2 linked regions of the Callithrix jacchus genome follow. Each later gene encodes a partner of the first gene's protein in a complex. Links are inferred from orthologs where the notes say so. Each region holds a gene or a part of one and is shown on either strand. Other genes may lie near its edges.

What was found. Proteins that work in one complex are often made in the same cells at the same time.
Region 2: IGF2BP1 (region 1) and DHX9 share a complex: the UniProt entries of both Homo sapiens proteins name them as parts of the coding region determinant (CRD)-mediated complex. The link is inferred for Callithrix jacchus from reciprocal best matches to the Homo sapiens genes IGF2BP1 and DHX9.

The regions. Positions count from the first base shown.
Region 1 is NC_133506.1:117,249,954-117,253,604, reverse strand, and holds part of IGF2BP1 (insulin-like growth factor 2 mRNA-binding protein 1), read left to right. Parts: intron 1-648; coding exon 649-784; intron 785-1,861; coding exon 1,862-1,984; intron 1,985-2,328; coding exon 2,329-2,448; intron 2,449-3,351; coding exon 3,352-3,426; intron 3,427-3,651. UniProt on the Homo sapiens protein: RNA-binding factor that recruits target transcripts to cytoplasmic protein-RNA complexes (mRNPs). This transcript 'caging' into mRNPs allows mRNA transport and transient storage.
Region 2 is NC_133519.1:41,043,955-41,047,605, forward strand, and holds part of DHX9 (ATP-dependent RNA helicase A), read left to right. Parts: intron 1-327; exon of another isoform or gene 328-469; intron 470-1,290; coding exon 1,291-1,337; intron 1,338-2,679; coding exon 2,680-2,816; intron 2,817-3,128; coding exon 3,129-3,218; intron 3,219-3,308; coding exon 3,309-3,470; intron 3,471-3,615; coding exon 3,616-3,651. UniProt on the Homo sapiens protein: Multifunctional ATP-dependent nucleic acid helicase that unwinds DNA and RNA in a 3' to 5' direction and that plays important roles in many processes, such as DNA replication, transcriptional activation, post-transcriptional RNA regulation, mRNA translation and RNA-mediated gene silencing.

The DNA of each region.
Region 1 (3,651 bases):
AAAAATAGTCGAAATGGTAAAAAGTATTTAAAAAAATCTCTATAAGGACTGGATTTGCCCATTTCCACTGTCATATGAGGTGGGGGTGTTGTAGGGTGCTGCCTCTGTAGTCCATGTCCAATCACATCACAGCCCTGTTTCTCTGTGGCTTGAGGACAGCCTGCAACTAGGAGCTAGGGACTCAGGGCTTTAGGGCTGTCACTATGAGAAGTGACTCTGGCCCTTTTCTGTCTGTGGTGGGCTGCTGCTGCAAGCAGTGTGCCTGTTTATTTCATCAGAGACTAGCCTGTGGGCAAAGTAGTTGCTCTTGTCCAAAAAGGTACAGAACATGGATTGTGTAGAATCAGTGGAGAAACTTGGCGGCACAATTCTCTTTCCTGTTTGACCAGCAACCATAATCTGTCTGCGATTGGATCCATTTGCTAACAGAGGGGTTTGAGCTGGGTGTTGTCATCTCCCTCCATCTTACCCCCTGCCCTGGTTACAAACTGGGGACACCAAATACTGGAGATGCAGAATCGTTTGCCGGAAGTTGACTAGCCTGCAGAAATGGTAGGCCTGTGACTCAGCTGGCCTCTTGTCTTTGTTCCTTCCGGGGCCTGGTCCTGGCCTGCCAGTGAAAGGACACGGCTCTGCTCTTCCTGCCAGGTTGCAGGACCTTACCCTCTACAACCCTGAGAGGACCATCACTGTGAAGGGGGCCATTGAGAATTGTTGCAGGGCTGAGCAGGAAATAATGAAGAAAGTTCGAGAGGCCTACGAGAATGATGTGGCTGCCATGAGCGTGAGTGCTGGGCTAGAATCCTCTGGTTATCCTTTCCTGAGTCTTAGCAGTAGCAGCTGGTGGGGTACGGGGTGATGGATATGTGCCCTGTGCCATGTGGCCTTGAAGCTTTAGTTGATGCTTTTGGACCTTGGCAGTGAGAAATAGGTTTTTAAATTGTATTTAATTAGCAAGGATTCTTCACCTGGTTCCTAGGATAGGGGTCCAATCTTGGGCTTTGAGTCCAAGTATGTGGTTCCAAGTATGTGTACAATTTGTGTTTGTGTGCACTTTAGTGAAGTGGGGAGGTTCATCATTTTCATCTGATTTTTATATCTTTTTTTTTCTTTATTTTATTTTATTGAGACAGGGTCTTGCTCTGTTGCCCAGTTGGAGCACAATGGCACGATCATAGCTTACTGCAGCCTTGACCTTCTGGGCTCAAGGGATACTCCTGCCTCAGCCTCCCAAGTACCTAGGAGACTACAGGTGTGCACCACCATGCCCAGCTAATTTTTTAAAATTTTACTTTTTTGAGACAGGGTCTTGCTGTGTCACCCAGGTTGGTCTTGAACTCCTGGGCTCAAATGATTCTCCTGCCTTGGCCTCCCAAAGTACTAGGATTATAAGCATGAGCCAATTCATGCAGCTTATCTCATTTTTTAAAGGAGACTTGGGTTGGGGTACAGACCAAAAATTTTTAGAACCAGAGTCCTAGAAGTCAAATGGAACTCTGTTTCTGTACCTTCTTTTCTTATATAGGGGCATTATAATAGAGTGTCATGAGTCTATTATCTGTCTCCAGCAGTCTGAACAGCCAGAGAGAAAGGACTTCTGAGGTTGTGTAACTTTGGCATTTCTGGTTGCTGTTGCTAGCCCTTAGTCCAATGAGAACATCCTATCACTTAAAATTTCACACCCGAAGTGTGTAGGTGAGAGTGTATGAAAAGCACAAAGTACGCTTTTGTGTAAAAGCATGTAATTAATGTTTTTGGCTCTGGGGCTCCTTGCCCTTCTGGTTCAGCCAGGGCCACACACAAGGGACTACCAGGCCCTGTCAGGGTGTGCTGACTCCTCCTCCTCACCTTTCTTCCACAGCTTCAGTCTCACCTAATCCCTGGCCTGAACCTGGCTGCTGTAGGTCTTTTCCCAGCCTCGTCCAGCGCAGTCCCGCCACCTCCCAGCAGCGTTACTGGGGCTGCTCCCTATAGCTCCTTTATGGTAGGTGGAAGCTCTTATTACATGGGACCCCTGGGCCCATATGTAGCCTCCTTTAACGGGGGGCCAAGCACCCTATGGGAGTTGGCTGCCTGGCCATTTTGCAGGCAGAGGGAAGGAAGGGCTTGGGGTGTCCCTCCTCTCTATTGCTCCTAGCCACTGGCTCTAAGGTTCCCAAGTGTCTGCCTAGAATGCTGTCGGGGCACAGGCAGCACTGTTTCCTCACTCTTTCCTGGCCTTTTCCCTTTACTCCTTCCTCGTTGAGTGAGGATGCAAGGCAGGGGAATGGAGGGTTTCTGGGCCCTGCTCCTTGGTCCCCCAGGTAATAACATTCTGTGTCCTGGCAGCAGGCTCCCGAGCAGGAGATGGTGCAGGTGTTTATTCCCGCCCAGGCAGTGGGCGCCATCATCGGCAAGAAGGGGCAGCACATCAAACAGCTTTCCCGGTTTGCCAGCGCCTCCATCAAGGTGATCTGCTCTGTGGGTCTTCCTGTTTCTGGAAAGGGAGGGGGCTCTGCTTCTATCACTCTATACTTTCTCCCAGATTCCCCATACTCATTTGAGAATTCTGTGTCTCATGTGAGGGGGCTTTCCCCCATAGAATTGCAGTCCTCTTTCTTTTTAACCTTGCTTGATCCCCATGGAATGGCTTCAGTGCTTCTGGGTTTTCAGGCTGGGCAGGGCAGGGTTGTAACATAGAAAGAGAACTTAGGTTCTAACACAAATAGAATTGGGTTCAAATCCCAGACCCACTTTATCACCCCTTCCCCCATACGCTATGTGATCTGAGTCTCACTTTCCTCATCAGTACAATGTAATGAGGCTATGCAGCCAAAACCTTTGGCTCACATAGTAACACCAAGTGTTGATTATTTGTCACCTTCCCTAGCCAGTGTCTAGGGGAGAGAGAAGGGAGATCTGTCATCGTGAAACAAAGGTACTGTTAATTTTCACAAACTAAACCCAGTTGCTTCAGTTGTCTTAAAGGCGTTGGGCAGAAAACTTGATTGCTCCCCAGTGGAGGTGCAGTTATTGTCCTCTATCTGTTGGTCATTTTATTTATGTCCTTACCTGTTGGCAAGACTCCACTGAAACCTCTTGGGAGATCAGGAGATTGGTAGGTGGAGGGGGCAGGAGGTCCTACTTAGAAAATGTCATTGAAGCCAGTCCTTCTAACTGATCACCTCTGCCCTCCTAATAATTCTGGTGTGCAGGGGTGATGATGTGGGCTTCAGGGTCTTTGTTCTTCCTTTCCTAAGTCTTCAGAATGGGTAGTTCGAGTAAGGGTGGTAAAGGGGAACTGGATGAAGTAGGTATGGTGGGGGTCTTCCCATGGCGGGTCCATCATTGATTAGCTTTTTTGCTCTTTAGATTGCACCACCTGAAACACCTGACTCCAAAGTTCGTATGGTTATCATCACTGGACCGCCGGAGGCCCAATTCAAGGTTTTGGTCTTTATTGTTTTCCAAGCTGAACATGGAGGAATTGAGGTTGGGTATTTCCTCTGTGGTAGGAAAAAGGCTGGGGCAGTTTGCCATTAGCCATCAAGTCCTCATCATATATTTAAGCCTTCCCTGCAGGATAAAGGGCTGCAGAGCTATTTTCAAATTGACGTCAAACTCAATTTCTGTTGACTTCCACTTCCCTTTTTAAAGTCAACAGAAGAAGAT
Region 2 (3,651 bases), on another chromosome or scaffold:
GAACGGTTTGGGCTTGGTAGCACTTGGTGACTTTAAGAACAGTAAGATACCTAAGTGTGCCCTAAAGCTCATCGTTGCAGACATTTTTTGTTATCAGTATCTTAAAGATTTCTGATACAAAGCAATGAAGAATTCAGGAAAAGACAATGAGAGGCACAGACAATTGGGGGAGCCAGGACAGCATTCCTGTATGGCCTTTTATTTAAAGGCATAACAGACAGCAACACCAGAGGTCTGTGTTCATAATACACATGTGCTGCTGCTTAGGCTGAACTAAGCAATCACATGGGAAACTATTGTAAACTGATTTCTGGTGTCGCTGTTCCCCCTAGGTGGAGGAGAATGAGATTGAGTGCTGACTTTAAGCCTGGCTGAGAAACATACTGGCATCGATGTCATTAATGAAAGGGTGGATGTTGTTCCCCTGAAAGCCAGTGGCCTTTGACCCCTGAAGCCGCTGTGCCTGAAGGTCAGTTCACAAGAGGTATAGGAAGGAGTCTAACATTTATTTTTTCTTAAGCCTCACCCAGCCTTTTATTCACAGCACAAAGTCTAGGTTTAGAATGTATCTGAGCAGTGAAAGGACCAGAATGCATAGAATTTCAAAGGGCAGTTTTTCCCTTGTGAAAATCTAAATTCATTTTCTAGACTCCACAAGCAGTTTGAGATATAATGTGACAGCATGTGTTTTGTTCTCCAGGACCTGATTTAAATAAATGTCATATAAATAGGCTAAATTTTTGTCATCCAGGGCCGCTTCCAACTGCAGGCAGATGTGAGAGCTCTGCCTTAGGAGCCATTGATGTGCACAAAATGAATGTGCATGTGTGAGTTTGCGTATATTAGCTTAATCCTAACAGATTGCAGTTCATAATGGGTGGCCTATGCAGAAGAATCTTAAAATAATTCTAACAGTAGTGTAAAGCATTTTGGGCCTACTTTATTTCTTGGCTCCAAGCTAAGTGGAAAATTCCTTTTCATTGAATGTGTTCTTGCTGTTCAGACTCCAGCCTTTGGAATAAGAGTAAGTAAATATAAAATCTAAAACCCTAACGTTTTCCTTTCATGAACAATTGGCTCATCGACTTTGATTATAGTTGTCTTATGCCGTGTTGTATATTTGAAGTTTATATACTTCATTTGTTCTAGGGTTGGGCAGAAATAAATGTTGGTAATTTTTTTTCTCTGTGATTTGCCTAAGCAGTTGGAAAGCCTGCCTGACTTGGGAGACCTGGATTTGCCAATTTCTAACAGTGAAATTTCTAACCTTGCTTGTATGTGTTGTTACAGGAGCTTTATTGCAGAAATGACCATTTATATCAAGCAGCTGGGCAGAAGTAAGTCACTGTTTCCCCGATATTCCAAGACTTTGTATAGAGAAGCTGTATTATTGAAAGAGCACATAATGTAAGATAGCATCTAGGGTATATTTTAGAATATTAGTAATTATAGACGTTAGAGAAAGTCTTCTAGTTTACGTATGAAGCAGACCATGTTAGTGTAATGTTTGAAAGGTAAGATAAAGCAGGATGATTAGGAGTCTGCCATTGTCAAAGAATTTTAAAACTTTTTTATATGTAAAATAAGTTATTTTGAGTGGATGGGAAATATTAAGGGATAAAGGCAGGCTAACTTCTGTCATATATTAATAGAATAAAAAGGAACTAGAAGCTGTGGCATACACTATATTTTAAGACTTTTGTACCTAAGCCCATGGTTCCTGGTGATAAGACTTACTTGATTAGGGGTTCCTGGTTTCTCACTTACTTGATTGGGGTTAATTTGGCTAGTTAGGCAGAAAGATACCTTTGTACCCCTTTGCATTATATTCATTTCTCCTAAAACTGAATGATACTGGGGAAGAAGAAACTTTCTATTAGTATTTTCTTCAAGGATACGAGTAGCTGTTAGCTTCTGTTTAATGCTGAGGTCAGCAAACTATAGCCGTCTGGCCAAATCCAATGTACTGCCTGTTTTTATAAGTGTTCTATTTGAACATAGCTACACTCATAACTAAACTTATTCCTTTGTCAGAGGACAGCAAACTCTTTCTATAAAGCACTAGGTGATAATATTCTAGACTTCACAGGTCATACATTTTAATTTTTATTTTATTTTTACAACTCTTGAAAAACATAAAACCATTCCCAGGCCTATGGTTTGTCAAACTATTGTCTGTGGCCGCTTTCATGCATTAGAGGCAGAGTTGAGTAGTTGTGACAGAGACTATGGCCTGCAAATCCTAAGATATTTATTAACCCTTTATGGAAAAAGTTTTCCAAATCCTGGTCTAGGTAACCACTCTGGACCTGATTACATTTATTGGTTTATTTTTTTACTCTTTGACTTCTTAAAAGTCAGACTATGTTTTCTTACCATATTTTAATGCCTGATGATAATAACACTGACAACCTTTAAAATAGGTTTTTGCTTTCATAATACTGAATTGTATGAGTCCTAGTATCAGCCTGTAGTCAAAACAGTGGGTTATTTAGTTGATAAACTGTTTGGCAATTTCTTTTGTTTATCATATATTAATAGAATAAAAAGGAACTAAAAGCCGTGGCATACACTATATTTTAAGACTTTTGTACCTAAGCCCATGGTTCCTGGTGATAAGATGTTTTTTTACTTAAGTGATTGATCCTTCTGTCTGATAAACCCGATCTTACATTATAGGAATTTTTGCACGAGAACATGGATCAAATAAGAAATTGGCAGCACAGTCCTGTGCCCTGTCACTTGTCAGACAACTCTACCATCTTGGAGTGGTTGAAGCTTACTCTGGACTTACAAAGAAGAAGGAAGGAGAGACAGTGAGTTTTTAGATTTATAATAGACTCGTGAGATATTTTAAGATTCAATTTAGCTCTTGTTTAGTATTTGGCTAAAGAAGTCTTAATTTCAAGGAATCTTACCTCAAGAAATGAAATGGCCTTGCTAATCATCTGTGTCTGGCATGATATCCGTAATAGGAAATGAGTAAATCATAATCATTGAAGTAATTCTCTCACTAAAGGGAACTGACTGTTGGCTTAGGAATACTGTAGAATTAGTTTTGACTGTATAGTCTTAGCGCTACTAAAGTAGATTTGAGTAGTATTTATATGTGTGATCCTTTTTTGTAGGTGGAGCCTTACAAAGTAAACATCTCTCAAGATTTAGAGCATCAGCTGCAAAACATTATTCAAGAGCTAAATCTTGAGATTCTGCCCCCGGTAAGCATACAGCTATTTAGTTTACATGTATTTAGAACTCTCAGTAGACAGGCAAATCATTTTGTTGTTGTTTTTCTTATTTTTTAATAGCCTGAAGATCCTTCTGTGCCAGTGGCACTCAACATTGGCAAATTGGCTCAGTTTGAACCATCTCAACGACAAAACCAAGTGGGTGTGGTTCCTTGGTCACCTCCACAATCCAACTGGAATCCTTGGACCAGTAGCAACATTGATGAGGGGCCTCTGGCTTTTGTGAGTGCAGTATTATTTTTGAGATCAGACTCTCGTGTTTCACTCTTGAGTATGTTTGATTAGTATGTCTAGGTACAAAATGGATTTATTTTGAAGCTGAATTATGTGGTTTTGTTTATAACCATGTGGGCTTTTTGTTTTACAGGCTACTCCAGAGCAAATAAGCATGGACCTCAAGAAT